Linked DNA regions of Ovis aries. The protein of the gene in region 1 purifies or fractionates together with the protein of each later gene. This does not show direct contact. Links are inferred from orthologs where the notes say so. Each region holds a gene or a part of one and is shown in the gene's direction. Other genes may lie near its edges. The genes, in order: PDGFRB and RASA1.

The links.
Region 2: the proteins of PDGFRB (region 1) and RASA1 purify together in Homo sapiens (co-immunoprecipitation; 5 studies listed by BioGRID and IntAct, with this or other methods). This does not show direct contact. The link is inferred for Ovis aries from reciprocal best matches to the Homo sapiens genes PDGFRB and RASA1.

What each region holds. Positions count from the first base shown.
Region 1 is NC_056058.1:59,234,652-59,249,861, reverse strand, and holds the end of PDGFRB (platelet-derived growth factor receptor beta), read left to right. Parts: intron 1-1,571; coding exon 1,572-1,666; intron 1,667-2,579; coding exon 2,580-2,712; intron 2,713-3,238; coding exon 3,239-3,343; intron 3,344-3,681; coding exon 3,682-3,792; intron 3,793-4,799; coding exon 4,800-4,959; intron 4,960-5,974; coding exon 5,975-6,135; intron 6,136-6,669; coding exon 6,670-6,788; intron 6,789-7,026; coding exon 7,027-7,149; intron 7,150-7,871; coding exon 7,872-7,983; intron 7,984-8,393; coding exon 8,394-8,493; intron 8,494-9,046; coding exon 9,047-9,152; intron 9,153-10,025; coding exon 10,026-10,258; intron 10,259-11,561; coding exon 11,562-11,739; 3' UTR 11,740-13,608; downstream 13,609-15,210. UniProt on the Homo sapiens protein: Tyrosine-protein kinase that acts as a cell-surface receptor for homodimeric PDGFB and PDGFD and for heterodimers formed by PDGFA and PDGFB, and plays an essential role in the regulation of embryonic development, cell proliferation, survival, differentiation, chemotaxis and migration.
Region 2 is NC_056058.1:84,544,062-84,560,015, forward strand, and holds the start of RASA1 (ras GTPase-activating protein 1), read left to right. Parts: upstream 1-9,239; 5' UTR 9,240-9,434; coding exon 9,435-9,976; intron 9,977-15,954. UniProt on the Homo sapiens protein: Inhibitory regulator of the Ras-cyclic AMP pathway. Stimulates the GTPase of normal but not oncogenic Ras p21; this stimulation may be further increased in the presence of NCK1.

The sequences.
Region 1 (15,210 bases):
CTTTTGCTACCTGCCAGTCCCAGTGCGTACATGGACCTGTATGCATAAACTTCATTTATGCACCTGTTTCCTCATCCAGTAAATAGTCACAGGGTCTCAGCTTCTCTCTGGAGAAAGCCCAGCCCTGCCTGTCCTCCTAGTGCCCATGGTCCAGAAAGGACACAGATGAGGAACTAGGCAACCTCACTGCGAGGGTCAGCTTCTGGGGGGAAAGCCTAGAGGGAGAAGGAGCTCCATCCCCATCTATAGGATTCAGAAAAGTATCCTGGTGAAATGAAGCTTTAGGCCAATATCTGAAAGAGAACTAGGAATTAGCCTAGTGAGGAATGGTGCTCCAGTCAGAGGGAACAGCCTGTTTAAAAGCCCAGAGGCAAAGTGAATTCAGAGCAATTAAAGAAATCAACGTGGTTGGAGAACAGAGTTTGTATGTATTTAGGGGGTGGGGGAGGAGGGAAAGGGGAAGGGACTACAGGAGAAGCCAGAAGCCAGTGTGAGCAGAGCTGTGCAGGTTGTACAAGGTGTTTTGGACACACTTATGCCGGCACTTAGGTAGGTATTTGGGCTTGTATAAGCAGATACTTCTTCACACAGGCCTGCCTTCCCCTGCCCTGTGGTGGGGTGGGTGGTGGTTTTAATGCCTTATCTCATCTACACTCCTATACATACCTTCATATTCCTGAGCAAGTGGGCACCTACCGACCAACTCTGAGCAAGGCAGAAGTAAAGCTTTTGCGTGCCGTCTGAGGGGGAAGCCATGTACCACCCTGCAGGGAACTGTCATGGCTGGGTGAAGTCCCCTCTTTTTGCTCAGAAGATGTAAGCTCCCTAGAGCTCTCTAGGGAGCAGAAAAGGGCCTGTGGGGGACAGGGGAGGAGGGAGGGAGTTTCCAAGGAAAGTCACGGGTGGCCAGAGGGGCAGGACAGGGGTGATGAGGGTCTGGCTGAATGAGGAGGGAGTGGGAAGAAGTGGGTATGTGCAGCAAAGAGGCTGAGGCTTTGAGGGTAGAGGAGACTCAGGGCTTGGGGGGCCCAGAGTTGGCCCTGTATGGTTATCCCTGTTGCCTGGCCCCTTCCTCATTCTGCTTTACGATTGCCATCATGGCGGGTGGGGGTAGGGGAGGGGAAACAGGCTCTTTTGTGGAGTCTGTATGCCTCAGGCTATGGGAGTTCAGTTATTGTATCCATCGGCCTCTGTCCTAGCTGTGCCAAGCCCCCATGAGGGCCTAGATTCAGAGGAAAGGTAAACCACAGCCCTGCTCTCAGGAGCTTGTCTTCAATCTGGACCTGCGGCAGACAGGCCAGACTGACCTTGGAAAGGGCTGAGGGGATATGGAGGCCAGTGGTGATCCAGGGGGAGTTACTGTAGGGCAGGGAGTATTTAGGGTGAGGCTGGAGGTGTGGCCCAGAAGAGAAAGGCTGGAGGTCTGACATCATAGGCCAAAGCGGGGATGGAGCTGGTTCCATTCTGGGCAGGATGGGCAGAGAGGTTTTGTGGTACCAGAGGTAGATTGCAGGGAGGGGAGCTGCCAAATGTCCTGTTTGTTCATAAGCATCTCTCATCTCTGCGTCCAGCCCTGCCCTTCAAGGTGGTGGTGATCTCAGCCATCCTGGCCTTGGTGGTCCTCACGATCATCTCCCTCATTATCCTCATCATGCTCTGGCAGAAGGTAAGCCCCGCCTTTGCCTAATGGGTTCAGAGTGGCACACCATTTTTTCACATGGACCTCTGCCATCCTCTAGTGCTGCAGGATCTGGCCATGTCTGGGGCCCAGCATGGAGCTCAGGGGATAAAATGATGTACAGTAATGCAGGGTGTCTGAGCTTCCTCCAACCGCAGCAGCCTGGACCAACATGGGCCTGGTCCAGACCATCTGGAGTGCTCCGACTCTGCAGCGCACCCCTCTCCCCACCCAGCATCCTGCTCGGGCATCATGTCTGTCCATCCTAGCCACAGGGCACGAGACCTTCAAGGTGGACTGCCTGGGTTCCAGCATTCTTCCAGCTCTCACCCACACTAGGATTCTAGTGAAAGGCATTCTAATCCTGCTAATCTGTCATTTCAGTGGTCTGTACTGCCGTTTCACCATTCCATGACTCTACCGCAGGATTGCTGCACTCGATTCTGTCATTCTAAGATTCCAGTCCTGTGATTCCAGCATCCTATGATTTCAACAGTCTAAGGTTAAATCTTTCTGAGATTCCCACTGTGACTGAGCCGGCATGGGGAGGGGCCATCCACATCCAGTGGAGTGTCCCTGCCTCATGTCACTTTCCAAGGCTACGTGCTCCTCTATTCCCATCGGAGGAGCAACTGAGGTTCTGGGAGAAGCTGGTGAGGAGGTCCTGATAAGCCTGTGGCTCAGCTGTCAGCTGCTTCTCTGCCACCTCCTCCTTACATCTGTTCCCATGGAGCCCGTAAAGGCCTTGGCTCTATTGATAACTTGCTGTATGACTTCAGATCTACTGTATGACTTCAGATAATCTTTTCTGGGCTTCAGTTTTTCTTGTCTCATCTGTTTCATAAGGAGCTGGACCTAGTGGTCCGCCTCTGATGATCCATCCCTGATCTTGATCCTGCAGAAGCCACGCTATGAAATCCGATGGAAAGTGATTGAATCTGTGAGCTCTGATGGCCATGAGTACATCTATGTGGACCCTATGCAGCTGCCCTACGACTCCACCTGGGAGCTGCCACGGGACCAGCTTGTGCTCGGTCAGTCCAAGGAGGCCTCAAGTGGCAGTCTGGGGACTTGAGGCGGGTGGGAACACTGTCTGACATCTGGGCCCAGCCTTGCCATGATTGGCTTGAGACCTAGGGCTGATGTCTTGCCTTCTGTGGCCCTCAAGCCCTACCCTCTGTACAATGAGGGTAAGATGATCCCCCTTGAGACCCTCTAGCCTTTATGTTCTATGATCCAGAGATGCTGTGAGATGAAACCCCTTTGTGGAGAAAGAGGAAGTGCCAGGCCTGTGCTTAGTGCAGCTGGAGAGGCTGAGAGGGTACGGAGAACCTGTGCTCCCCTCTCAGGGAGAGGTTTTCCAGGGACTAAAGAGGGACCAGAAAGTAGGCAGGACTTAGGTGAGACCAGGAAGGACCGCAAAGCACTGTGATTTTAGGAGCCTTCATGGGAGAAACACCTACGTCCAGGGTGGCTTGAGGGATGTCTAACCTGACCTCAGAGAGCATGCATGTTGAGATTCTTCATGAGTCAGCAGCTGAGAGATCATCTCTTTCCCAGGACGCACGCTGGGCTCCGGGGCCTTTGGGCAGGTGGTGGAGGCCACAGCTCATGGCCTGAGCCATTCTCAGGCTACCATGAAAGTGGCCGTGAAGATGCTGAAATGTGAGTCCTGGGAGCCCGCCCCTCCCTCCCCTCACCCCCAACTCCCCCGCACATTCAGGCACTCCCAGAGCAGGCCTTGTGCTGATTCTCAGGGTGCAGAAGTACAGGCATACCACAGCCAGCAGCACTCCCAATTCTCCTTTGGTAAAGAGGCTTCCTCACCCTGCCCCCTCCTCCAGGAGCCTCCCCGCCCACCCTTTTTCCTTTCTCCTGCCCGTGGGTCCTCACCACCCTTGACCACCTGGGTCTAACAGCACAGACTGGGGCAGAGGAGCCAGAATAGGCTCCAGTGAGGCCTCCGTGACTGGGCCAGGCCTGAGGTCCTCTCTCTCCCTCAGCCACAGCCCGCAGCAGTGAGAAGCAAGCCCTCATGTCGGAGCTGAAGATCATGAGTCACCTTGGGCCCCACCTGAACGTGGTGAACCTGCTGGGGGCCTGCACTAAAGGAGGTACAACCCCCTCCCAGAGGACTCTGGGAAAGTGCCAGTGGCCAAGGCCTGGCCCCTCCCTGCCCCCTCCTCAGTCCAAGGACAACAGGACATTCTCACTGGAGGGCCCGTGCCTACCCAGTCCAGTGCCCTCACTTCACAGAGCCAGACGTGTGTCGGATTAGCAAGTCACAAAACCACATCACCTCTAAGACCAAAGCACTCCCCAGGTCACCATTCCTAGCAGTTTCCAAATCAAGGAGCCCTCTGACGTTTAAAGCTTGTTGCAGTCGATTTTAAAAAGGGTGATACGTAACAGCTCATGAGACACTGAAACGAGCCCTTCCTCTGGAGACCACCAACCGGCTTGCTCACTGAGAGCTGCTTTCACTCGGATCGTAGAATAAGTAAGGTCTCTCCAGCTGAGTGTGTTTATTTGAAACTCTGATTACACGTTAGGCCACACAAAAAAAGTTATCACTACTTTCAGCTGCTTATTGTGAGATTTGGGATTTTCCTCAGTATTGTGCAACCAAAACAAAATACAGAAGTACACTATGTGCGTAGACTAATTTTTGTCTGCAGTGGTCACACATTTCAAAATGTTTGATTCCACCAGTATCTTCAAACTGCCAAGTCAATGCATTGTGCTTGAATTTAAACAGTAACCTGGTAATAATCAGTTGCCTTTGCTTTATATCCTGGGCTCAAATTTCAGCTTCATCAACAACAGCTAGCCCTATGCTTGCAGTTTGCCAAGCACTGAGCTGAGCTAACCAAAGGCATTATCTCATGAATACTCATGAGGTACTTTGGGGTGGGTATTACTAGCCCCATTTGACAGATGAGGATAGTAAGGCTCAGGGAGACTGCCTTGCTCACAGCCAGGAAAATCCAGGTTTGCCTGGGGCCTGAGCCTGTTTGCTGTTCCACATGCAGCCTGTCGTTAGCCTCATGGCTCTGACCGGAAGCCTGAGCCCACCCCGACCCCCTGCCCTGGGACTCTTCCTGAGCCTGTCCTTCTGCAGGGCCCATCTACATCATCACCGAGTACTGCCGTTATGGCGACCTGGTGGACTACCTGCACCGCAACAAGCACACCTTCCTGCAGCGCTGCTCGGACAAGCGCCGCCCGCCCAGCGCCGAGCTCTACAGCAACGCCCTGCCTGTCGGGCTCCCTTTGCCTAGGTACCGCAGGGAGGCTGGGGCCTGAGTTGGTGGGGAGCCCTGAGGAGCACCTGCTTACCCCTCCTTGTCCAGGACAGGAAGTTGAGGCCAGGGTGGGTGGAGCCGCTCCTAGAGCCAGCCTGCAGCCTGGCCCCCTCGGCCACCCTAGAGGTGGGCATGATAATAACAGTGGTGATGATGGTAGCTGCCACCTGCTGGTTGTAGGAGGTGTGCCAGGCCCTGTACTGAGCACTCTGCAGGTGTGATCCCCTTCGACCTCTCACCAAACACACATCATGGTCTCTCCATCAACGGGAAACACCTGGGGCCCTCCTGCTCCCGGTTGACCCTCACTGTAGCTCCACTCTGCTCCTCCCTTGCTGCAGCCTCCCCCCTCTTCCACACAGCAGTCTCTCCAGTGCCTCCAGGGTAGCTATACTCTCTCCTCTGCTTGTCCAAAAATGACATTTCTTTTCTCTCTTGCTCATTGCAAAAGCAATACTAGTCTATTTCAGAGGCAAGAGTCAGTTAAGAATAGCATTAAAAGATGTTAAAATTCATCCATGTTCTCTTCAACATTTTGATTGGTTTCCTTCCAGTGTTTTTTCTCCCCCTAGAGACACATGTATACTTTGTCCCACAGCTCTCTGGGGAGCTGATGCTGTAGGCAGAGGCATTAAGGTGATTCACTGCTCACTTGCAGGGCCTCATGGCTGGACAGCGTCCTTCCTGTGACCCTTGTCTTTGGGTACTGGAATCGCCCTGGGCATGAGTTCTCTGAGGACACAACCTAGATCTTATCGTCATCTTGGCAGCCCCAGTGCCCAGCTCAGGATGGGTCTGAGGTTGGCTGGAAGGGCTGACTACATGGTCGTTCATATTGTGACAAATTGTGAGTGGAGGATGCGTGAGTGAGGGAGAGAAGAAATGCATAAGTGATGGGGCCTTTCTGGCCCCAGTGTTGAGCAAAGGGGCAGGAGGGGGATGGACGGGGAGAGCCTGTGCTACTGTCTCTGTGATGCTCCTCTGCCCCCAGCCACGTGTCACTGCCTGGGGAGAGCGATGGTGGCTACATGGACATGAGCAAGGACGAGTCGGTGGACTATGTGCCCATGCTGGACATGAAAGGAGATGTCAAATACGCAGACATCGAGTCCTCCAACTACATGGCTCCTTATGATAACTACGTCCCCTCTGGTGGGTGCACACAGGGTCCTCACACCTGTGTTGTCATACATTCTTTCCAAACCCTTTCCTCCACCCAGTCTGGCAACAACCCTGCCAGGAAGGTGGCCTTGTGCCCATTTCATAGATGCAGAAACTGAGGCCTGCCACCTGCCCAAAGCTGCTGTGTGGTGGAACCCCAATATCAACCCCTGTTTTTGGGTCAAGAAATGTACACACAGCCTTCAGGGAGGAGAGGAGCTTGGATTGGAGGGGAAGCCTGACCTGCTGGGGCCTCAGGAAACAGTGGTCTGCTCAGAGCAGGCCCCAGGCTGACTAGTGCCCTGAGGAGCAGGCAGGCCAGGCTGAGCAAAAGTGGCCCAGGGCTAATGCCAAAAGTTTTTTCTGGAAGTTGGAGAATTTAAGAGATATTTGGAAATTGTTTTCCTTTTGGGGCAGCCTTAGAGGATCAGGAGTCTCCTCTCTGGGCCATCCAGCCTCTACGAGCCAGAGGCCAGGGTTCTGCGGCCCTGGGGAGACTCAAAATGTCCTTCTGCTCTTCTCTAGCTCCTGAGAGGACTTGCCGGGTGACTTTGATCAACGAGTCCCCAGTGCTTAGCTACACGGATCTTGTGGGCTTCAGCTACCAGGTGGCCAATGGCATGGAGTTCCTGGCCTCTAAGAATGTATGTGTAGTCACAGTGAGCAGAGTGGGGTCCTGGGGAGGGGGGTCCCCCAACCAGCCAGAGTCCTCCAAGTACGTGACCCGTACAGCGTCCCTCTGGTGGCTGAAGATGGCCAATGCCCCACACCTGGTGGCCCCTCATACCTGACCAGCCATGTATTTTTCATAAAGCCCTTGACCTGGAGAGCCTTTCCCCACAATTGCCCCACAGTCTCAGCTCCCATCCCCTCTGTCCCCAGTGCGTCCACCGAGACCTGGCAGCCAGGAACGTGCTCATCTGTGAGGGCAAGCTGGTCAAGATCTGCGACTTTGGCCTGGCTCGTGACATCATGCGGGACTCGAACTACATCTCCAAGGGCAGCGTGAGTGCCTCCACTGCCATCCTGGTTCACGTGGCTTTGGCTCACGGGAAGTCAGGACAGGGTCCTCATGGGCTCTGCCTGCCTGGCCCTGTGTGTAGGGACAGGAAGGGGAGCCACCAGCTGTGCATGGGGAGGGGGTGGGGGTGACAAGCCCAGGCCTGTAGGGTGGGCCAAGGGCTCAGATTTTCTGGGCATGGCAGAGGCCAAGGGGCCAGCTATAAAGGTTCTGGGGGAATGGATAGGGAGCAGGCCAAATGTGCTTCTCAGCAGTGATGGCAGGCAGAGGAAGAAGCCCAGATGAGTGAGTGGCAGGTGGTACTCGGATAAAAGGTGACCATCCTGCCTCGCACTCATGTCCCCACTTTCCACACAGGGACAGAACTGGAGGGACACTAGGCTCCAGAGATGGAAGGCAGCTAGGATGAGAGCTGGGGGACACCTGGGCACATCCCTGCCTCCCCCCGCAGGGGCCTCTGCTGCAGTCAGGAAAGGGATAGGGGTTGCTGTGTCCCCAGCTTGTGAGAAGAGAAACTCAGCCTCCTGATCCTCTGACTAACCAGCTTTGGGATGGGTGTGGGAACCGTGTATCGGCAGTGATGGGCCGTGGGGGACCAGGAAGTGAGAAACAGCTGAGGTGGGGACTGCCGGGCCTCCTCCTGCCTCCCAGGTGCAGAGTGGGGCTCAGCCCCTCCTTGCACTCAGCAGCCTCTGCCCTCCCACAGACCTTCCTGCCTCTGAAGTGGATGGCCCCTGAGAGCATCTTCAACAGCCTCTACACTACCCTGAGTGACGTATGGTCCTTCGGCATCCTGCTCTGGGAGATCTTCACGCTGGGTATGCTCCCGTCATGCTCCAGTGCTCACCCGTACACAGCACAGCGTCCACCCTGAGCGCCCACACCTCCATCCTAGGGGGGCAGTGGGACAGGACTCAGAAGCTCTGCTCTTTTCTTGTTACTGTGTAACCTCGGCAAGTGTCTTGCCAGCTGGATCTCCTTACCTCTGCATCTCAGTATAGATGGACTTGGACAGTGACGTCAGTAAGCCTGGCTCTGGTGCTCTCTGTTCTGATTCCGGGGAGGGATTCAGTCTGTGTCCAGGGCCTGTGAGGGAGCCCACATTTCCCAGCGCCACGATGCCCTCACTGATGCCTGGGCTGGTGTTCCTCTCCCTGTCCTGTAAGAGAGGGTTTCTGCCACTTTCCAGCACCTTGAGCCTGTGTCTCTTGTCTCTGCTCCCTAACAGGTGGCACCCCATACCCAGAGCTGCCCATGAACGAGCAGTTCTACAATGCCATCAAGAGGGGCTACCGCATGGCCCAGCCTGCCCATGCCTCTGACGAAATGTGAGTGGAGCATCTGGGAAGATATTTGGGGGTGCAGACAATACATATCCAACTTTACCAGCTTAAGACAAAAATAGATTAGCTCAGAGATGTAGAAAAATTAGGTTTAGACAGACCCAGTTGTTCACAGACATCATCCACATCTCTTGCTCTCCCCTGGGGCTCTGTTCTCCTTCATGTTGGCCTTACTTTCAGGCTGGCACCATCCAAATGGTTTTGGCCTGGCTGCTTTCACCATAGTTGCAGCAGAAGGCCCAGCAGTGGCTGTCAAGGGCTCTGCTGGGGTCACAGGCCCATCTAGAACCAGCCACTGAGCTGAGGGGATGAACCCCTACTGGCTAGACCCAGTCGTGTGCTCACCAAGGTGCGGCCAACCCCATGGAAGCACTGAACTGAAGGTGAAGGAGGGGCTTCTCAAGGGAACATGCCAGAGCAGTAAAGGGGAGACCCCTTCCCTCCTCCCCTCCCACCTCTTTTTATTTATTCCTCACTTTGTCCTGGGAGGCGGCAGGCCCTGAGCCAGAGGCCCTGACCCCTCTGCCCCTTTCCCCAGCTACGAGATCATGCAGAAGTGCTGGGAAGAGAAGTTCGAGATCCGGCCCCCCTTCTCCCAGCTGGTGCTGCTTCTCGAGAGACTGCTGGGTGAGGGCTACAAAAAGGTATGCTGAGACAGGGGGGTGGGGGGGGGGTGTGGGGCTGGGGACTGGAGAGCACCAGTCCAGAAATAGACACAGGGTACAAGGCTCACTGTGACGCACTGGTGTTTGGGGACAATCCTTTCCCCTCTCTGGGCCTGTTTCCCTGTTGGTGCCAATAAGGGATGTGAGTGTAGTTTATTTTAGCAGTACAGAATTTCATAAAGTGAAATCCTACTTGGAAGCTGATTAATTTAAACTGGAGGCAGGGGCCTATAGCCCCCTCATCCTGCATCCTTCCACTTGCCTTTGCAACCAGACCAAACCCTGGGCCTCCGTCCCAAGTCTGAACAACCCCGGTGCAATGGCTACTAAGGGCCTGACTGCCTAGACCCCGTGGCAGGCTCGTACATGGCAGCTGTTGCCAGCGGGGCCTTAAAACCCTCCCCTGCCCCACTGCAAAGCTAGTGCGAGGGGGATGCATGTACCCTTTGTCCAGACACAGCCCTTTCCCTCAGTCCATTCCTCAGCCCACTCCGAGCCACATCTGGTTATGTGTCCAGGACCAGGGGTGAGGGAAACAGGCCCCAGCAAAGGAGGCTGTGGCAGGCAGAGAGCCCATGCCTGTCCCCTGAAGCAGGGGAGAGTTAGGGTCACGGGTGCTGGTCTGAGTACTGACCCCTCCCCAGGTGACCCTCAGCTCACCTTGTCTGGTGAGAGGCCAGGGAGGAGGGTAAATTAGTGGCTTTGGGCAACTCTCCTTCCTTTCTGAGCACCAGGGACCTTATTTACATAATGCTGGAGGGGCTGGCTCAGAATCTACCTGTTAGATGATCCCTAAAGTCATTTCTGGTCTGACCCTCCCTTTGTCTCGAATTCTTCCTGCCCCCTGAGCAGAAGTACCAGCAGGTGGATGAGGAGTTTCTGAGGAGCGACCACCCAGCCATCCTTCGGTCCCAAGCCCGCTTGCCTGGCTTCAGTGGCCTCCGATCTCCTCTGGACACCAGCTCCGTCCTCTATACTGCTGTGCAGCCCAACGAGGGGGACAATGACTACATCATCCCCCTACCTGACCCCAAACCCGAGGTTGCTGATGAGGGCCCACTGGAGGGTTCCCCCAGCCTTGCCAGGTAGCTATTCCTACTTGCAGCCCAAAGCAGTAGTGTACATACTGTGTGTGTGCACACGTGTGTGTGTGTGTCTTTGTATGTGTGTGTGTGTCATTCTGTATCTTCATGCCATCAGACTTGGCTTAGCAGTGAATTACCTCAGCTGAGTACTTATTCCTGCCAATTGAATAGCAAAAAGAATGGAACTCATTTGACCTTTGATGACCTTAGGTGGAAATGGCAGGCTGGTAAGAGAAAGAATGGCCTGGGACACATTTGCAAAGTATCTGTTTGGTTTAAAGGAACCTCCACAGCCATCTACTCTGTCCCCTCTCTCGGCTGTGACTTAGCCCTAAGGAGAGAAAAGGAAAATCTAATTTGCATCCCTAACACCACATGTATTATTCTGTGGTGATCCCCAACCCTGTGATCTGGCCTTCAGCACCATGCGCTGAGGACCCCAGGGAGCATGGAACAGGGAGACAGAGGTGTCTACAGAAGTTCAGGCCAAAATTCAGACTGGGGAGAAGGTTCATGCTTTTCTTTTGCCTTGGGATGTGAAGTTACAGCATGAGGGGAGGGTTTTGGAGGAAGGCCAGCTATCGCCTGGGCTAGATGTTCCGCATGTGGCCAGACCTACACCCAAAACAAGATCCACCCTGTGGCGAAATGGCTGGGGCTGCAAACTGGGTTCCAGCTGTATCTCTGCCACTCGCTGCAATGAGACCCGGCCAGGTACCTTTGCTGTGAGCCCATCTCTCTACATGTACTAGGAGCACACACAGGACTTAGAAGGCCCTCCCCACCCTGTTTGAGAAGCTAATATTCCAAGGCTCCAAGCAGCCAGTGTACAGAGGAGTTCAGCTGAGTTCAGACAGCTTGGAGTGTGAATGCTGGGGCTGCTCTGAGCCTTCAGACCAGCTGCTTCTCCTCTCTGAACCTCAGATGCCTCGTCTGCAAAATGAAAACAGTAGGAGTACTTCAATTTGGAGGTTGTTATGGGGACTGAACGAGGTCATTATGCGTTCAGGCATGTGGGAGATGGAGACTGATGAGTGAGCAATGGACTTTGGAGTCAGCTAGATCTGCTCTAAGTCCCCACTCCTATACTTAGCCACTGTGTGATGCAGGGCAATGACATAACCTCTCTGAGCTGCACTTTCCTCACGACGCCTGCCTCGCGTAATCTCTACAAGAATTTTAGTGAGCTAAAGTGTGTAAGGCACATGCAGCCAGCTCAGGTAGATAGAAGGCTCTATGTTAATGCTGTTCTTTCTCTGAGGTTCCCTCCAGCCTCTTACTCACTCGCCCTCCCCGCCTCTAGCTCCACCCTGAATGAAGTCAACACCTCCTCTACCATCTCCTGTGACAGCCCTCTGGAACCCCAAGAGGAGCCAGAGCCAGAGCTGCAGCCCACCTCCCACGTGGATCCAGAGCCCAAGTGGCCACCGGATTCCAGCTGCCCCGGGCCTCGGGCCGAGGCGGAGGACAGCTTCCTGTAGGGGCTGGCCCCCACCCTGCACTGCCCTACCCGAAGCTCCCCTCTACCTCCCAGCACCCTGCACCGCCTGGCCGGGCCTGGCCTCCCATCAGCCAGGCTGCTCCTGTCGGCTGTCCCTTTCCAGAAGGCTTCTGCCCCTGGCACATCATACCCAATCCCTGGGGCTGGCTTAGGAGGCGAGAGAACTGGAGGAGCCGTGACCAGTCCTCTGCCTCTGGAGCACCCATGTGACTCTGAGCCAGGGTTCTCCCAGGGGACTCTGTTTCCCCATCTGTAAGATGGGAATGATGGGCTTGGCAACCCATAGTCTGGGATTCTCACCCTGCCTGACAGATGTGGTGGATGGAACTCTCAAGTTTCGTGAAGTGGTGGATTAACTCTTTTCTGTTCAGCCAGCTGCCTCTCAAGGAGCTGCAGCTCTCTCCTTGCACTTTTTTCTCCAAGAGCTGGGGAAGGGACCCTAGCATCTCCGGCTCCTGGCCAAGCTAGGGCCTGGCCTTGGACAATGTTGCCTCATCCAGAAGCCACCTGCCCTCAGTGCCAGTCTTTGCTTTCCCAGGCCCAAGCTGGTCTGGGGCCTTCTGTGCTTAATTAATGCTGGGGGCTGAGCCAAGTACAGGATACCCTGGCCTGTAGCCCCAGGCCCAGGCACTTAGGGTGCACCTCCCCATAACATGCCATGTCCATGTCTTCCTGGCCCCATGGGTCCAGGGATCTCCTTTCTTATCACTGCCAGTCTTACTCCACTCACCAGAGTCTCCAGGGCCAGATGAGCCCCACATCTCTGATGCATGTGTTGACATGCTTGCAACAGGTGCCTGCACGTGTGGACCAGTATGGCACTGGACCTGCTAAGAGACCTTGGAGGATTCCTTCACCCTCTCTGGGGCTGTTTTCCCTGTTGAAAAATGAGCAATTGGACTCACTGACTTCTGGTACCCTGCCAGCACTAACATTCTAGAGTATTCCAGGGGTTGTACACTTGCCCAGATGAAGCAAAGATAAACACTCCACACCTCTATCCTGGGATCAGCTGGGACCTGGAGAGGCTCCAATCACACATCGCACACTTCCGGGCATTCAGGAACTGGGCCCCTTCCCCAGTCCCCCGGCAGGTCCCAGAGGGCAGCTGCCCAGGCCTTGGCTCTGAGTGATAGCCATGGTCCTGGAAAGCCCCCAGAAGCTGCCCAGAAGGGATGAGGGGGAGACCATGGGATCCCTTTCATGACCCACATGGCCTCTGGCTGGAGCTGTCCTGGGCAAAGGAAGCAGGCAGCAAATCAGAGTGCCTGGCGCAGCCCGCCACTCCAGCACCTGCTGTCCAGGGCTGTGCCGCAGACCTGACGGGCAGTGAAAGGACAAGATGCCTTGGAGGGGGTACCCGAGGAGGGGGTGCAAGGGGTGGGTACTTGGGGGTTGCCTTCCCGCCTTCCAGCTGCCGCAGCCTGAGGAAGGAACTGTGAAGATGGCTTTGTCTGCCCAGGGGTGCTCACCTCATGCCTCTGTCAGCCCAGTGGGCAGTGGTGGGGCCTAGGCAGTGAGGGCTGTGGCCAGGACCACTGGCAGGGGAAGGGCTGGATGGGGTGGGGGTGGGTGGGTGAGGGAAGGTCAGTGACTCTGGGAACCAGCCAGCCTCCTGTGTCGGTTGGCACCTCCCTGCCCTGGGACCCCCAAAGCCTGGTCAAGGAGAGGGTATGGGTTCTCACTACGGTACCAAAGATGTAATCACCTAGGTTTACAAGTATTTTTAGGACTCACGTTAACACACATTTATATGACAGAAGTGCTATTTTGTACGCCATCAAATTTTCCTCCCTGTGTACTTTTTTAAGAGAAAGATTTTAATATTAAACCTGGTGCTTCTCACTCACAGACTTTGTGGTATCCCACAGGTGTGGGTCCCTGGGCCCAGGAGGAGGCAGGAGTAGGGTGGGGCAGCTGGGCTCACCCAGCCGTAGGATCCCCACATGACCCCTCAGCTCAAGCCCACTCCCATTTGTGAGATGGGGTTTTTCACACTCCCACCCACCACTCCCTGGTAGTTGGGGGACCTGGACCTCAGGCTTTGGTTTTCCAAGTTGTGGAAGAAGAAGGCTTTTCTGGCACCATAGTGCTTGGTTCTGGGTGGGGGCCCTGAGTCCCACTGCCACCCCCACCCTACCCAGCCATGTGCTTTGGCTTTGGCCATTAAGCCAGCCACCCTCCCTGCAGCCTGTGGCCCAGATCCAAGCTGGTGTGGCTCATAAGAAGCATTCGCTACAGCCCAGATCCCAGGCCCTGGTGACTGGTGGTCAGGTCTCAGGTACGGGCAGGGAGACAGACGGTGTGCCCGAGAGGGCAGAGAGGAGGAAGGAAAGAGGAGAAGAAGCAGCAAGGAAGATGTGGGTGAGTGTGGCCACAGCACGGCCAGGGGAGGGAAGCAGGGGCCTAGCTGTGGCTCCGAGAGCAGAGTCTGCCAGGCTGGGAGAGGGGTGCAGACTCACCCCTCATGGCTGTGGCAGCTTAGTGGTGTGTGGGGCTGTTGTGAGCCAGGCGTCTTGGTGTCCACTGGCCAGCTCAGTACTGACTGTAGGCTCTAAGCAGAGCCCAGGTACAGACAGCCCTGTCTGGGAGACGCGGCAGCAGAATGGGGCCAGGGCAATAGAGCTGCCGGGACAGAGGGCAGAGCACACAGATCCTGGCCCTCCTGCCTGTGTCCTTTGGGACGGGTCACCTGAGGGGCAGCAGGGTTCTGCCTGAGACCTGTCACACCTCACTGTGTGGCCTTGGCCATTCCTTGCTCTCTCTGAGCTGGGGATGGGGCATCCCAGTTTGCTTCTGGGGACTAGCACATCCTTTTGGAACCACAGGCCTCCCTGGACTGCCTCCAGAAGTCTGGGGCCGTGGCTGCCAGTGGGGAGAGGAACAGAGACATGAGGCAGCTCTGACTCACCAGCCCAGCCGCCAACTCAGGGGCAGCTGAGCCATCCCCAGGGAAACCCCGCTGCCTCACCTCCCCTGCTGCAGGGCCTGGGGGTCCTGGCCTTGGAGCCCATGACCCCATCTCCCCTGGCTGTGGTAGGAGATGAATAAGCCACACCAGGATCTGCCCTGTAAAGAGAATAATCAGCCACATTCCAGATGGGGATTATCCTTGTCTTTGGGAAAGCCTCCATCTGGTCAGGGGACCTTGATCCCTTCACCTCAGGCCTGCTCCTTATGGGGTCTTGGGTGGGTTAGACCAGAAGTAGATGCAGCTAAGACACCACAGAGAGAAGGGAGGAAGACAGTGCTGGTGCCGCTTACTGAAGCGTTCCTCTGTGCCAGGGATGTCCTGTTGCTGCACACATCTTCCCGTTTGCCTTCACATCCACCCTGTGAACCTAGGGCTGCTTCTGTCCCCATATTACAAAGGGGATACCAGTTCAGGAGAGGTTGTGGTGACTTGCCCACGGTTGTCAGGTTGGTACAGCAGGGAGGTGATGGGCGCCTG
Region 2 (15,954 bases), about 25 Mb from region 1:
AGCCCAAGAAAATAAAGTCTGTTGCTGTGTTCATTTTTTCCTCTATTTGCCATGAAGTGATGGGACCAGATGGCATGATCTGTTTTTGAATGTTGAGTTTTAAGCCAGCTTTTCACTCTCCGGTTACACCCTCATGAAGAGACTCTTCAGTTCCTCCTTACTTTCTGCTATTAGGGTGGTATAATCTGCATATCTGAGGTTATTGATATTTCTCCCAGCCATCTTGTTTCCAGCTTGCACTTCATCCAACCCAGCATAACACATGGTGTACTCTGCATACAAGTTAAATAAGCAGGGTGACAATATACAGCCTTGACATATTCCTTTCTCAATTTGGAACCCATCTGTTGTCCCATGTCTGGTTCTATCTGTTGATTCTTGACCTGCATACAGGTTTCTCAGGAGACAGGTAGGGTGGTCTGGTATTCCCATCTCTTGAAGAATTTTCAATAGTGTGTTGTGACCCACACAGTCAAAGGCTTTAGTGTAGTCAATGAAGCAGAAGTAGATATTTTTCTGGAATTTTCTTGCTTTTTCTATGATCCAACGGATGTTGCATTTCTGTTTCCCTCTGCCTTTTCTAAATCCAGATTGTACATCTGGAATTTCTTGGTTCATGTACTATTGAAGCCAACTTGAAGGATTTTACTAACATGTGAAATGAGTGTAATTGTGCAGCGGTTTGAGCATTCTTTGGCATTGCCCTTCTTTGGGATTTGAATGAAAAACTAATGTTTTCCAGTCCTGTGGCCACTGCTGAGTTTTCCAAATTTGCTGGCATATTGGGTGCAGCACTTTTACATCATCATCTTTTAGGACCTGAAATAGCTCAGCTAGAATTCCATCACCTCCACTAGCTTTGTTTGTCATAGTGCTTCCTAAAGCCCACTTCACTTCACACTCCAGAATATCTGGCTCTAGGTGAGTGATCACACCATAGTGGTTATCCAGGTCATTAAGACTTTCTTTTTGTATAGTTCTGTGTATTGTTGTCACCATCTTCTTAATATCTTCTGTTTCTGTTAGGTCCATACCATTTCTGTTCTTTAATTGTGCCCCTCTTTGCATGAAATATTCCCTTGCATCTCTAATTTCCTTTTAGAGATCTCTAGTCTTTCCCATTCTATTGCTTCCCTCTATTTCTTTGCGTTTTTCACGAAGGAAGGCTTTCTTATCTCTCCTTGCTATTCTTTGGAACCCTGCATTCAGATGGGTATATCTTTCCTTTTCTTTTTTGCCTTTCATTTCTCTTCTTTTCTCAGCTGTTACTAAGGTCTCCTCAGACAGCCGTTTTGCCTTCTTGCATTTCTTCTCTTTGGGAATGGTTTTGATCACCACCTCCTGTACAATGTTACAAATCTCTGTCCGTAGTTCTTCTGGCACTCTATCAGATCTAATTCCTTGAATCTATTTGTAACTTCCAAAGTATAATCATAAGGGATTTGATTTAGGTCACACTTTCACTTATACTAATCTATTTTATGTCCCGTGCATAATCACTTTTGCTTCTATTCTATCATTTAGCTGAAAATACATGTTAAAAAAAAATGACAGAAAATATATTTGGAATCAAGCAATAAATAGTTCTAAAAAAAAAAAAATCACTCCCTCTGGCCAGAAATGCTCCATTAATAATACACATGACTGGGAAACGATGAGTTCTCATCCCAGTCATACCATGATTAACACTGATTAAGCTTCTTAGTGGAGAAGGCAATGGCAACCCACTCCAGTACTCTTGCCTGGAAAATCTCATGGACAGAGGAGCCTGGTAGGCTGCAGTCCATGGGGTCGCTAGGAGTCGGACACGACTGAGCGACTTCACTTTCACTTTTCACTTTCATGCATTGGAGAAGGAAATGGCAACCCACTCCAGTGTTCTTGCCTGGAGAACCTCAGGGACTGGGGAGCCTGGTGGACTGCTGTCTCTGGGTCGCACAGAGTCGGACACGACTGAAGCAACTTAGCAGCCGCAGCAAGCTTCTTAGCCATTTGTGCTAAATAGCCTTAGTTAGGTCATAGGATAGGATAAATTAAATATAACGTGGTTCAAGTGTAACAAATAACATCTCTATATTTAACAGAAATACATTCTTCATCACAGGGGTTCTCAAACCCTGCTGTAGTAGAACTGCCAGTGTCAAACCCTACCCTCTTGGCATCCACCTATTCTACGGAAGCAGTGGCCTGTCACTGCTAATGCTAGTTACCCTCTGCCTGAGGGCTTTCTCCGGCCAGGGGAGATGCTCAGGCTGTACATTGGGCAGTCTGGAGATGTTTTCAGAAGCTGCCCTCAGCCAAGGATAAGCGGGAGTTGAAGAATAAAAACCGCAGTTTCTGTGTCCCTCAGGTGTGCCTCCTCCTGGGGGCTCTGTGCGATCAGCCAGACCTCCATGGTAGAACTTAGCCCCAGTTGCTTTTAGCAGTAACCAGCTCATTAATACATTCTCTATTAATTTCCTTCCCTTCTCTACTCTCCTATTGAAATTTCCCAGGATGTCCTCCCAAAGAAACACTTTAACACTCAAGTCCTAGTTTCAGTGTCTGCTTCTGGGGAAACCCAAATTAGGACCAATTTTTAAAAATCCATGGAAAAATGGAAAAAGGACATAATACATACTCTGCACATTTCATGAAGCTAAATTTATGTGAGTCAAAAGATTTTTTTCCCTGATATTGATTCTTCTGTTTTTTCCCTCTTCCCCTTCCTTCCTCTCTCCCTGTCCCCTAATCCATGATCTCCCTTTTTACTATTTCTGACCTGAAATGTCTTTTCTTTTTATGAAACAGTTGTAGAAAATTGTTGTTAATAGTAACAAGATATTCCCCACTTCACAAAATTCATAATTCAGTAGTTTTTTGTTGATGCTTTAGTATTCTGTAAAGTCTAGAAAACTAGAAGTTACTGCTGCTATATATACTATGTGTTATATTTCATTGTTATTTCACAATTAGATAAAGAGAAAGTTAAAATATTAAAAAGTTTAAGATAACAAGTGAAATTGAGTTCTTCAAAAACATGTATTAAGAAAAATAGTTAGAAATATCTTAGTAAGATAGTTTTAGTTAGGTTAAGTTTCATCATCCACAACTTCTTCTGAAGTACTTAAAACTCTCACCTTATTTTATCTATAATTATCTCAAAGTGCTATCAAACCCTTTCATTGTATAGTTATTTTGAAGCCTATTAAAAGGGCTTACGTATTTGATGTACTAAATTTAGAGAGAATTGGGTTACTGGGAGCTTCTCCAGTAAATCCAAGAAAGCAACCAGAATTAAGAGACTCTGCAAAATTCTATGGCACCCCACTCCAGTACTCTTGCCTGGAAAATCCCATGGATGGAGGAGCCTGGTAGGCTGCAGTCCATGGGGTCGCTAAGAGTCGGACATGACTGAGCGACTTCACTTTCACTTTTCACTTTCATGCATTGGAGAAGGAAATGGCAACCCACTCCAGTGTTCCTGCCTGGAGAATCCCAGGTACAGGGGAGCCTGGTGGGCTGCCATCTATGGGGTCGCACAGAGTTGGACACGACTGAAGCAACTTAGCAGCAGCAGCAGCAGGAGCAGCAGTAAAATTCGTAGGTGAAAGGCCAAAGGTTAGCTCGATTCCATGACTCTGTTTCAGGTGGTATTTAAACGGTTTCAGGTGTTCCAGGTAGTAGTTAAATTGCTGTCACAGAGGCACAGAATAGCAGTTAATCATGAGGAAAATGTGAACTGGAGCCTCACACCACCCTGAGTCCCCCGTTCCCTTGCCCTAAAAGCATTCCGCTTCCTTTTTTCTTTTACTTCTAGCATAACGCATTATCATGTAAAGGAACCCAGGTGCAGAAAGGAAACACAGAGGAATCTAGTAGATAAAGAAAAACAAACTAGAAATGATGCAGGAGAAAAATTTCTGATATAGAATAATGAAAGACCAAAAGATAAAAAAACAAATAAAAAGTGAATACATTTTTCTACTCTTTCAAGAGAAGGGATATTTATTCTCAATCCAATTGATCTAAGTACCTTTAACCTTGAAAAGTGAAAGTGAAAGTCGCTCAATCCTGTCTGACTCTCTGCGACCCCTTGAACTATACAGTCCATGGAATTCTCCTGGCCAGAATACTAGAGTGGTTAGCCTATCCCTTCTTCAAGGGATCTTCTCGACCCAGGAATTGAACTGGGATCTCCTGCTTTGAAGGTGGATTCTTTACCAGCTGAGCTACCAGGGAAGCTCCACCTTTAACCATATATAAGCTTAAATGTTTTAAGAGGGCTCTAATAATTTTCTTTAAAGTTTTACAGCCTCAGTTTGTACTATTTTAAAATTTCTCCATGGTGTTTATAATTTTCTTCAAGCTTAGTTAATTATTATATCACATACTGTAATCTCTGAAGAGCTATTTTTACTTTTTCATCAAAATAATTTCCATTAACCTGTATCTCCTCAACGTTATTTGCTTAAAGGTCTTCCTAGTAAGGAAATTTCTGCTCTTGAAAATTTTAAGATGAGGTCAACAAATGCACTAAGGACATTAGAGGTTAGGAGTGAAATTTTGAGGTCAATGAAACCTTTTGACATTATTTACAGAAACTTGGAAGCCTATTTGTTTAGCTGAGTGTGTACTAGGGCATGAAACACAATTATGCTCTTTATCACTTCTTGCTTAGTATTCCCCTCAGAAATGTTCTCTAAAATTGTATTACTGAGTCAGTTATCTTTTCACATATTGAAGCATCAAATCTGTAACATATTTTAAGAGTGTATTCTATTCATATTTGAGTTACCAGTAAAATCAGAATGAGTCAAAATCATTTTTTAGAAAATTAAGTGTTCAGATTCTTTTTACCCATAAGTCTTTGCCCAGCATTTCTGATTATTTGTTGTTGTTGCTCAGTTGCTAAGTCATGTATGACTCTGGGAACCCATAACTACAGCATGCCAGGCTTTCCTGTCCTTCACCATCTCCCAGAGCTTGCTCAAACTCATGTCCATTGAGTCAGTGATGCCATCCAGCCATCTCATCCTCTGTCACCTTCTTCTGCTCTTGCCCTCAAATCTTTCTGAACATCAGGGTCTTTTCCAATGCGTTTGCTCTTCGCATTAAGTGGCCAGAGTATCAGAGCTTGTTTCAGCATCAGTCCTTCCAATGAATATTCAGGGTTGATTTTCTTTAGGATTGACTGATTGGATCTCCTTGCTGTCTAAGGGACTCTCAAGTCTTCTCCAGTCACAGTTCAAAAGCATCGATTCTTCAGTGCTCAGCCTTCTGTATGGTCCAACTCGCACATCCATACATGACTACTAAAAAGCCATAACTTTGACTATACAGACTTTTGTCAGCAAAGAGATATCTGTGCTGCTTAATACTCTGTCTAGGTTCATCATAGCTTTCCTTCCAAGGAGCAAGAGTCTCTGAATTTCATGGCTGCAGTCACCATTTCCATTGATTTTGGAACTCAAGAAAATCTGTTACTGTTTCCATTTCCCCCCCATCTATTTGCCATCTATTATTTATTCTTCATGAAATGCTGTTTAATTCTATATCTGGAGTAACTTTTCTCAAATAACAGATATCAAAGATTGTTTTACTAAGAGTAAAAGCTATTTGGAATTTTCCTCTTTTTGTATATTGTTCAGTTTTTCAGTGCCTCCCTGTTTAATATTATCTGTGAATTTAATTAGCAGACTGTTTACTTCCCTTTGTTAACTAATGTTACATAACACCACACCTAACATCAGTCCCTGCAGAAACCTTGTAATGCCTCTCTCCAAATAAATATTTCATTAAAAAAAAAATGTTCTTCAGTTTTTGATTTATGAAACTTCAAGGAGTACATTATCTATGTCAGGAAATTCAGGGACTTGGAAGAAAAGGAAAGGGAAGCACAGAGGTAGAAATTGAGGGAGAAATTAGCAGAAAAAAATTAGACTGTAGAGACTATAAATGAAAGATGGAGAGGTCAAGGTGAATAGAAAAAGAAAAAAGGCAATAGAAAAAAAATAAAGAAGGCAAAACATTTAGCCTTTTTTGGAAAAAAATAAGTCACTGAAGACAGAAGAGAGTACACAAAGGGAGTACACAAAGAATAATAAGGATCAAGGCCTAGACCCATCCAATAAACAGAATGTGTAAAACATTTGAAAACATCTCATCAGAAATGTGTGGTAATCTCTTTAGATGGAAAGGACAACAGTTCTCTAAGGCTGAATATAATGTAAGACAGTGGTATTAGGTTGATATATACAGACAGAGTAGATCTCTCCCACTGGTTGAGCAACTGATGTCTAACGATAGGAGCTGATCTAATTTAGTATTTTTAAAAAGAATGGAAACCTGTTCAAAGCAATTGACAAAGATGCCTAGCATTAGGTTAGGCAGTAGGTTAGACTACAAGTTGTGTCTGCAGTGTAGGAACTACAAAATAGTATACGTCGGTATGTAATTGGAGTTGGACTGCATTAAATATTGACCTTTAGATGCTAAAGAATTTCCAGAAAAGGGAATGGATGTAATTCTGCAAATTAGTGAGTCTGACCTGGAATCTCAGGCAGAATAAATATGCTGTGTGTTAACCCAGAGCTGGTGATTACCTGCCAGTCCAACATCTTATGTTCAGAGGCCAACAATGGTGTTGCATACCTTTTTCTTGTTTAGCATATTGTATTGGTTCTTAAACATAAATGTGCAAATTTGGAGAATTCATTAAAACAAGAGTACTCCATTTTTCTGATTCAAGAGGGTCTGCGGTGGGGGTCTAAGAATTTGCATGTCTAACAAGTTCCTGGGATATTGCTGGTCTGAGATTATTACTGTGATTAGTCAGTCCTTCACTCTCTCTACTGCCTTAAGAGGCAAGAATGAAGGAGTCCTTAGGACTACCACTAATTGCATTGTCATTGATTTGGCAACCAGGCTTATGGAAATAGACATTTCTAAAGAAAAACATCTTGTGTGCACCCTGCCACCTCCTTCAATTGTCTTTTCCTTTTTTCCTTGGCCTCTTGTTACACAGCCCCTTTCCATCCTCAATGTGCTTCTTGTGGATTTCACTATTACCCTTAGTAGAGAAAATATTAATCTCAAAGATCAATATTAAATGTCTATTTAATGTGAAATTCCTCCTAGGATAATGTAAAATAAAAGCAATATATATGAATCCAAAAGGTCTAATCACAGATACTGGAATTTCAAAAAAAAAGAAAGGAAATGATTCCTCCCCACCTACCTTTACACATTTGTTGTTGAGATGCTCAGTTGTGTCCCACTCTTTTGCGACTCCATGGACTGTACCCGGCCAGGTTCTTCTGTCCATGTGATGTCCACGTGTTCTTCCCTCCTCCCAGACAAAAACACTGGAATAGGTTGCAGTTTTCTTCTCCGGATCTTCCCCAACCAGCGATCGAACCTCCGTCTCTGTCATTGCAAGCGGATTCTTTACAACTGAGCTACCAGGGGAGCACACTTTTATACATATTCCACTATAAAAACCAAAACCCACTGTCTCTGGATATGTAAAGGGTGAAATTTCATTTATTATTTTTGAGGATACATAATTGTAACTGACGCGTTGGCTCCTCCTTGACATTTGCTGGTTGAAACTGCTCTGTACCACACGTGTACCGTGGAGTGTGCCCTGACGTGTTTTGTGTTTTGCGCAAAAAAGTGCAGATTAGCGTTGTCTGGGGACCTCTCCTCTCCACACCTTATTATACCCAACAGACTTGCAGTGGCAAAGGTAGTGTATGTGGGTGTGAAAGAAAGGGAAAAGAAAGAAAAATAGAATACAGAGAGAGTCGGAGAAGACAACAAAACGCGTACAGTCACAGAAATCCGACTCACAACCACTGTTTCTTCTAAAATTCTTAGCCCTCCCCATATGTCTCCCCAGTTATCCATTTCGTTCTGAGTCTTCAGTTCAGCTGCTCAGTCGTGTCTGACTCTTTGCGACCCCCATGAATCGCAGCACGCCAGGCCTCCCTGTCTATCACCAACTACGGAGTTAACCCAAACTCTTGTCCATCGAGCCGGTGATGCCATCCAGCCATCTCATCCTCTGTCGTCTCCTTCTCCTCTTGCCCCCAATCCCTCCCAGCATCAGGGTCTTTTCCAATGAGTGAACTCTTCGCATGAGTCTTAGAATCTATTAAAAAAATTTTCATTTTATTTTTTTTAGCTTGAAATAGTCATATAGTCATTTATATAATGAAAAGAGAACGGAAACACTAACAGGACTCTCTCGGACCTCCAGGCAGGTACCCCTCCAACTGCCACCCCCGCGGGCCTCGGCCGTCGGGTTTCTGCGCCGCCGGCCACGGCGTCCGCTCTACCGGTCGGGAAGCGAGGAACTGGCTTTGCCTCATCTCCCCTTCTCTTTCCCTCCCTCTTCAAGAAACCCTCCTCGTCGCTCACAGGTTTTTACCCCGCTGAGCGGCCGCGTGCCGGGGACCCACTCCTCCCCTCCGCCGCCTAACCCGTCTCTCAGACAAAGCCCAGTCAGGCAGGCGCGCGCCACCGGCCACACCGACCGGCGAGGCGGCCGCGCCGCCACGCGCTTCCCCACTGGCTCGGGACTGCTAGCTTGGCCGCGCCTCCACGCGCTCCCCTCGGCTCGGGACAGCGAGCGCTGCCGCACACCGCGCGTCCCCGCCGCTTCCTTCCCTCCAGAGTCTTCCTTTCCCTCCTCCAGACCCAGCACGCCACACCCCCACCCCAACCCACCGCCTCCGCGCGGGGAGTGCGCCTGCGCAGAAGCTGCCCTCTCGCCCCTCCTTCCCCGCCCTTCCTTCCCTCCGCCCCTCCTCCCGCGCCCCGCCTTCCTTTCTCTCGTCGATGTCACTTAGCGCTCCAGGTTGGGAGCCTTTAGGTTGATTTCCCCGCTACCCCGCCCCCCTTCCTCTTTTTCTCCCCACCCCTCCCGCCTCAGCCCGGTGGAGGATGAGGCGGCCGCAGTGGCCCCAGCCCCTGCAGCGGCACCGGCGGTGGTTGCGGTGGGGGTGGCCGGAACTGGGGTGGTGAAGAAGCGGTGGCGGCGGCGGCGGCTGAGGGAGCAGCAGCCGCCTCAAGCCGCTTTCCCCCCCGCCTCGCTTCCCTTCCTCTTTAGTGCAGCCAGGAAGTTTTTCGCTTCTGTGCATGTGTGTGTGTGTGTGAGTGTGCGCGCGCGCGCGAGTGTGGGTGTGGAAGGTGAAGGTTTGGGCGGCGTTTGTGCAGGCGTTGGGGTTTTTTGCCCACTTCTCTTCCCGTAACCCGGGGAGCTCCCGAACCTGGGCTGTGGCCCGGAGAGGGGGCGCGGCGGCAGCGGGCTCTCTCCTTTTGTTGTTGTTTCCTCCGCCCGGGGAGCTGAAGAGGGGACGCGCCTGGGTGGGGCGGCTCGGAGCCCGGGCCTGGTGGCCCCTGGGGGCTCCCGGGCGGGCAGGGTAGGGCCGCGTAAAGCGGGCTTCAACATGATGGCGGCCGAGGCCGGCGGTGAGGAGGGCGGCCCGGTCACCGCCGGGGCAGCGGGAGGCGGCGCGGCCGCGGCCTCGGGTGCCTACCCGGCGGTGTGTCGGGTGAAGATCCCCGCGGCCCTGCCCGTGGCCGCCGCCGCCCCCTTTCCTGGGCTGGCGGAGGCCGGCGTGGCCGCGACTCTGGGTGGCGGAGCCGCTCTGGGGTCAGGCTTCCTGGGACCTGGGTCTGTGGCGGGGGCCCCGGGGGGAGCCGGACTGTCAGCCGGAGGCGCTGCCGCCGGCGTGGCTGGTGTCGCCGCCGCCGCCGCCGCCGCCGCCGCCGGACCCGGCGGGGAGATGGCTGAAGCCAAAGGGACCACTTCGTTGCCCACTGAGACCTTCGGGGCCGGCGGCGGATTCCCTCCTCTGCCGCCGCCTCCTCCTCAGTTGCCCCCTTTGGGCGCTGGCCTGGGAACAGTGGACGAAGGTGACTCTCTGGATGGACCAGAATACGAGGAGGAAGAGGTGGCCATCCCGCTGACCGCTCCTCCGACTAACCAGTAAGTCAAGACCGGCGTTTTGGGGGAAGCTGACTCCTTGGAAAGAAATAGGAAAAACAGGTCTAGTTCTTTTCAGCTGTGACTCGTAGTGCTTTCAGCTGTGACTCGTGTTTTCAGCTGTGACTCGTTCAGAAAAAGTTCTGAAGCTCAAGGTTCCGTGCGTACGGATTTAATTTGATCACTCATCCTCCCTACAGGCACACTCCCTGGCGTCTTGGTATATTTATTGCTCCTCTGGGAAGATGTAAAGTTTTCAAGATGGGAAGCATGGGAAAATGTGTATCCAGGGAGAACCGGATATGGTTCTGTCCCTTGCAGATTGAGGTGGCGTCCTGGGATTCAGCTGAGTTTGCAGCTACCGAGGCAGTCGTAGTCTGTATTAACCTGGTTGCATTCCCTGTTGAAGCTAGACAATTAGTGAGAAGCTTTGAATATTTGAGTGAATATCGTGGTAGTATTGTTTGAAACGTGCCTTGGTCGGATTGCTTTGTTTTTGTTGCCCTGCAATTCCCGGCTTCTGGCTGTTGAAAGCACTGCGATGCAGAAAAGACTTTGGATTGCTTTTGAGAACGTGGGTCAGCGAGAAAGGAAAGTTCTGTTAATTACTGGTGTGGTTAAGGGCCTGTACTCCCACAGTATTTAACATGTGCAGTAGAATTCCCGTTTACTAATATGCTAGTATAATTCTTCTGTAAGTTGAAACTTTGTAAGTACAGTATTGAACTAGAATTAATATTGTGCTTCCCTTCACCTTTTGTTGGTGGCAAATACAGTATTCTATTTGAAAATTAATTTTGACAGTCTTCTGCAGAATATACAGGACAAATGACTTACATATATATATAGTACTTTCTCCCTTGTTCTCTTCATAAGTGAACTTAGGTTTGGATCTTGAGAGGAACATGTTGATGGGCAGTAGGCAAAACTTGTTTTATAGATCCCTCATATCTGTCTTAATTGTCCTTTAGAATTTTGACAACCTTGGTGAGGTATCAGAGGAAGAAAGATTTGATTCCTGTGTTGACCATCACTCTAGACAGTTGAAGGTGTTTTTTGTGTCTGTTTTTTTTTTTTCTTTTCTTTTTTTGGATAAGCTTCTTTAGAAAATTTAGAAAGGACTTAACAAATTAGGGCATTTTTGACTTAAGGCTACATACATCTTTTGATGGAAAAGTAAAGTTAATCTTATGTCAGCCATGGGACAGGGGAGTTTTATTCTTTTTATATTGTTCATCATGAGTTCAATTTTTTGTCTAATTTAATTTCTGCTTATCATTTCTTATCTACATATTGCAGACTTCTCTGAAGGTGTTCTGAAAGTATTAAAAATTCAAAATTTACAGCTCTGTTTACACATCTTCAAGCCTTTTTCAAAACTACTTAAGTATTAAGGGCCCTGTGGTTATGATAAAGTTCAGCTTTTCATAATGAAAGAATATAGTCTTATGTTAGTTCTTAACTAAATTGAATAAGGCATATTTAGTGTGTTGCAGTTCTAAATTTTTTTAAAAATAGAATTTATTTGTTAGAGCAGTTTTAGGTTCACCGTAGAAGTGAACAGAAAACACAGTGTTCCAATTAAATTTTTAATAAATATAAATGAGAACCTAAGAAAAATTATTCTTGTGAGAAATCCATTGTAAGATTTTCATCATTTGTGTTTGGGAATAAAAATATTATTTGTGTAACTCTGTATATGAGAATTGTTCATGTTCTAAAAAGTATCCTCCATTTCACTATAGTTTTTAAAAGTTGCCAACGAGAAGTACAAATTTCCCTCTCTTCTTTATCTTAGATATCAACCCAGACTTACTGGAGGCAATACAGTGTAGGGGTTAAGGTGCAAAATCTGAAGTTAGACAAGATTTGGGTTGGAATCCTGACTCTGCTACTTACTAGCTGTATGATCTTGCAAAGGTCAGGTTCCCCATCTGTAAAATGGGGTAATAATGCTATCGCCCTCATATGATACTTTTTAAGGTTAATGAGAAATCCCTGAATGTATTCAGCACAGTAACTCATACGTAGTAAGTGTTCAGTAAATTGGCTCAAATAGTACATAATTTTATCATTAAATTGCTTGTCAATTCTATAGGAACTCCCATGCTAATAGCTATTTGAGAGAATGTTTTGAATTCCACGGGTCTGTCTACCATGATTAATTATATCAAAATTTTTATTTTAACTTTATAAAGGCTTTCAGCAGGTGAAGCAGGTTTAGAGATGGAATTCAAATGTTTTCTCTAAATTCCTAATTTTAAATAAACGGAAAAGCCTTAGAGACTTAGTTAAATAATGTCAAACCTTTCATTAAAGTATTGAAGAATTTTTTTTGGCTAAATTAATATGATTACCAGTGACTGGTCACTTTAGTTATTGATTACATGGTATTAAGGAGGTTCGAGTTCGCAGTGGTTTGTTAGATAGACTAGGGCTCCCGAGTCACAGAGTTTCAACAGTGTGTCCAGGTTGTTCGGTGCTGTTGGTCACAAAAGAATCAAGTGACAATATGTAGATACACTAGTGCAAATATAATAACACTATTATTTTGTATCTTGTTTCTCTGTGTGCATGGTGAATCATTAGCCTCATGTTTATCACTGAGCGTTTTCATTCATTTGGTTAAGGCCAGAAGTTTAAGTTTGTATAATTGTAACTATTACATTTATTTAAATACTTTTTTTTGCAAAATTTAGGAAAAAATTTTTAAAAGAAAAATATTTTCTGCATACATTTTTTATGTAGAAAATGTCCTGTACCTAAAACAGCTAATATATATTTTTTTTTCCCAAGAGAGAAAAGTTAAAGGAGTTTTTCACTGATACTTCGTTTACTGTAATGGAGCTTTTTTCCGTGGTCCTCCTCTTCTCTTACTTTCTTCCTCAGAGGGGTGACAGTAAAGTAGTATAGTTCCTCTAGTCCACCTTCTGTTATGTATAGAGATTTTAAACTATGAGCCTGCAGTAGCAGGAGCGTCTTGGGCTGAATCCAGTTGAGAGATACACATTGCTTGCTCTTAGTGTATTTGGAGCATTGAGTGGATTAGTTGCCACTTTTAAAAACAGCAAAACTTCATGTTTAAGAAGTCTTGATTTCTAGCATCACTTGAGACTTGGCTTTACCTGGTTGCTGTTAGTGCTTGAGAATAGTTTTCTGTAGCTGAGTAGTGATTGCCCGACTTAAGTTCTGAGCTCTGCAGTTAACTGTGGCCTCCACCAGGCCTGCTTCGCCTTTGATATTATTTGTGTGGTGTCTGGCTAACTAGATCTTACCCTGGACCTAAGATGCAAGTTTTCTCAAGCCTGAAGGTGGAAGAAAAAAGAAATAAGGAATGTAAATAATACCTTTCGTTTCCTTAAAAATCATCATACTGTTTGTATAAAAATATAAATTATTCTTAAGTCAAATCATTGTTAAATGTTAGTACTAAGACATAGTGTTCATCAACTTCGTCATTGATTGCATTATAACTCTGGGTGAGTCATAATTTCTTAATAAAAGCGGGAGTGAGAATTGCAGAGATTAGGTGTGGACATAGTGACCACAGAACCTGAACATGACCAGATATTTATCTGAGTAGGAGAGCAGTGTAGTAGGGGCTTAATTTAAGAGAGACAGCAATGAGTAAGATACTCCTTTTCTTCATGAGTCTCTCTTCCAAGAGAGTTTTCGATCTAGGAGAAAGTTAAATGGGCATCCCTCTTAGCTCAGTTGGTAAAGAATTTGCCTGCAATGCAGGAGACCCTGGTTGGATTCCTGGGTTGGGAAGAGCCACTGGAGAAGGGAAAGGCTACCCATTCCAGTGTTCTGGCCTGGAGAATTCCGTGGACTGTATATGCCATGGGGTCGCAAAGGGTCAGATACTATTGAGCAACTTTCACTTTCAGAAAATTAAGTAACTTCAATAGCTGAAGATAAATATCATGAGTAAAGTATGAGCACATGGTCATGGGGGTTAAAATAATATCTGTATAATTAGAATCAGTAAGGTTTTAGAGGAAAAATAGCAGGTGTGTTTTCAGTGCTGCTTAATTTATTCTGAACAAGAGGTAACTGATTCCTATAACCTTTGCCTAATGATTCTGTCAGGTAAAAAAGAATTACAAATTAATGAAGAAAATTTTTTAACCTTGAGTAAAGTGTGTGTCCTCAGTTCAGTCACTCAGTCATGTCCGCCTCTTTGCGACCAACCTCATGGACTGCAGTATATGAGACTTCCCTCTCCATCACCAACTCCCAGAGCTTGCTGAAACTCATGTCCGAGTTGGTGATGCCATCCAATCATCTCATCCTCTGTCGTCCTTTTCGCCTCCTACCTTCAATCTTTCCCAGCATCAGGGTCTTTTTCAGTGAGTCAGTTCTTCGAATCAGGTGGCCAGAGTGTTGGAGTTTCAGCTTCAGCATCAGTCCTTCCAATGAATATTCAGAACTGATTTCCTTTAGGATGGACTGGTTGGATCTCCTTGCAGTCCAAGGGACTTTCAAGAATCTTCTTCAACAACATGGATCAAAAGCATCAGTTTTTTGGCGCTCAGCTTTCCTTATGGTCCATATCTCACATCTGTACGTGACTACTGGGAAAACAATAGCCTTGGCTAGACAGACCTTTGTGGGCAAAGTTATGTTTCTGCTTTTTAATATGCTGTTTCGTTTTGTCATAGCTTTTCTTCCAAGGAGCAAACTTTTTTTTTAATTTGTTTATTTTAATTGGAGGCTAATTGCTTTACAATATTGTAGTGGTTTTTGCCATACATTGACATGAATCAGCCATGGGTGTACATGTGACCCCCATCCTGAACCCCCCTCCGACATCCGTCCCCATCCCATCACTCAGAGTTGTCCCAGTACACTGGCTTTGAGTGCCCTGTTTCATGCATTGAACTTGGATTGGTTATCTGTTTCCCATATGGTAATATACATGTTTCAATGCTATTCTCTCAAATCATTTCACCCTTGCCTTCTCCCGCAGAGTCCAAAAGTCTGTTCTTTACATCTGTGTCTCTTTTGCTGTCTCACATATAGGGTCATTGTTACCTTCTTTGTAAATTCCATATATATATGTATGTGTTAATATAGTGTATTGGTGTTTGTCTTTCTGACTTACTCCACTCTGTATAATAGGCTCCAGTTTCATCCATCTCATTAGAATTGATTCAAATGCATTCTTTTTGATAGCTGAGTAATATTCCATTGTGTATATGTACCACAGCTTTCTTATCCATTCATCTTTGATGGACATATAGGTTGCTTCCATGTCCTAGCTATGGTACACAGTGCTGCAGTGAACATTGGGGTACACATGTATCTTTCAGTTCTGGTTTCCTCAGTGTGTATGTCCAGCAGTGGGATTGCTGGGTCATAAGGCAGTTCTATTTCCAGTTTTTTAAGGAATCTCCACACTGTTCTCTGTAGTGGCTGTACTAGTTTGCATTCCCAACAGTGTAAGAGGGTTCCCTTTTCTCCACACCCTTTCCAGCATTTATTGTTTGTAGACTTTCTGATAGCAGCCATTCTGACTGGTGTGAGATGGTACCTCATTGTGGTTTTGATTTGCATTTCTTTGATAATGAGTGATGTTGAGAATCTTTTCATGTGTTTGTTAGCCATCTGTGTGTCGTCTTTGGAGAAATGTCTGTTTAGTTCTTTGGCCCATTTTTTGATAGGCTCATTTATTTTTCTAGTGTTGAGCTGCATGAGCTGCTCATATATTTTTGAGATTAATTCTTTGTCAGTTGCTTCATTTGCTATTGTTGTCTCCCATCCTGAAGGCTGTCTTTTCACCTTGCTTATAGTTTTCCTTTGTTGTGCAAAAGCTTTTAAGTTTAATTAGGTCCCAACTGTTTATTTTTGCTTTTTATTTCCATTACTCTAGGAGGTGGGTCATAGAGGATCCTGCTGTGATTTATGTCAGAGAGTGTTCTGCTTATGTTTTCCACTAGGAGTTTTATAGTTTCTGGTCTTACTTTAGATCTTTAATC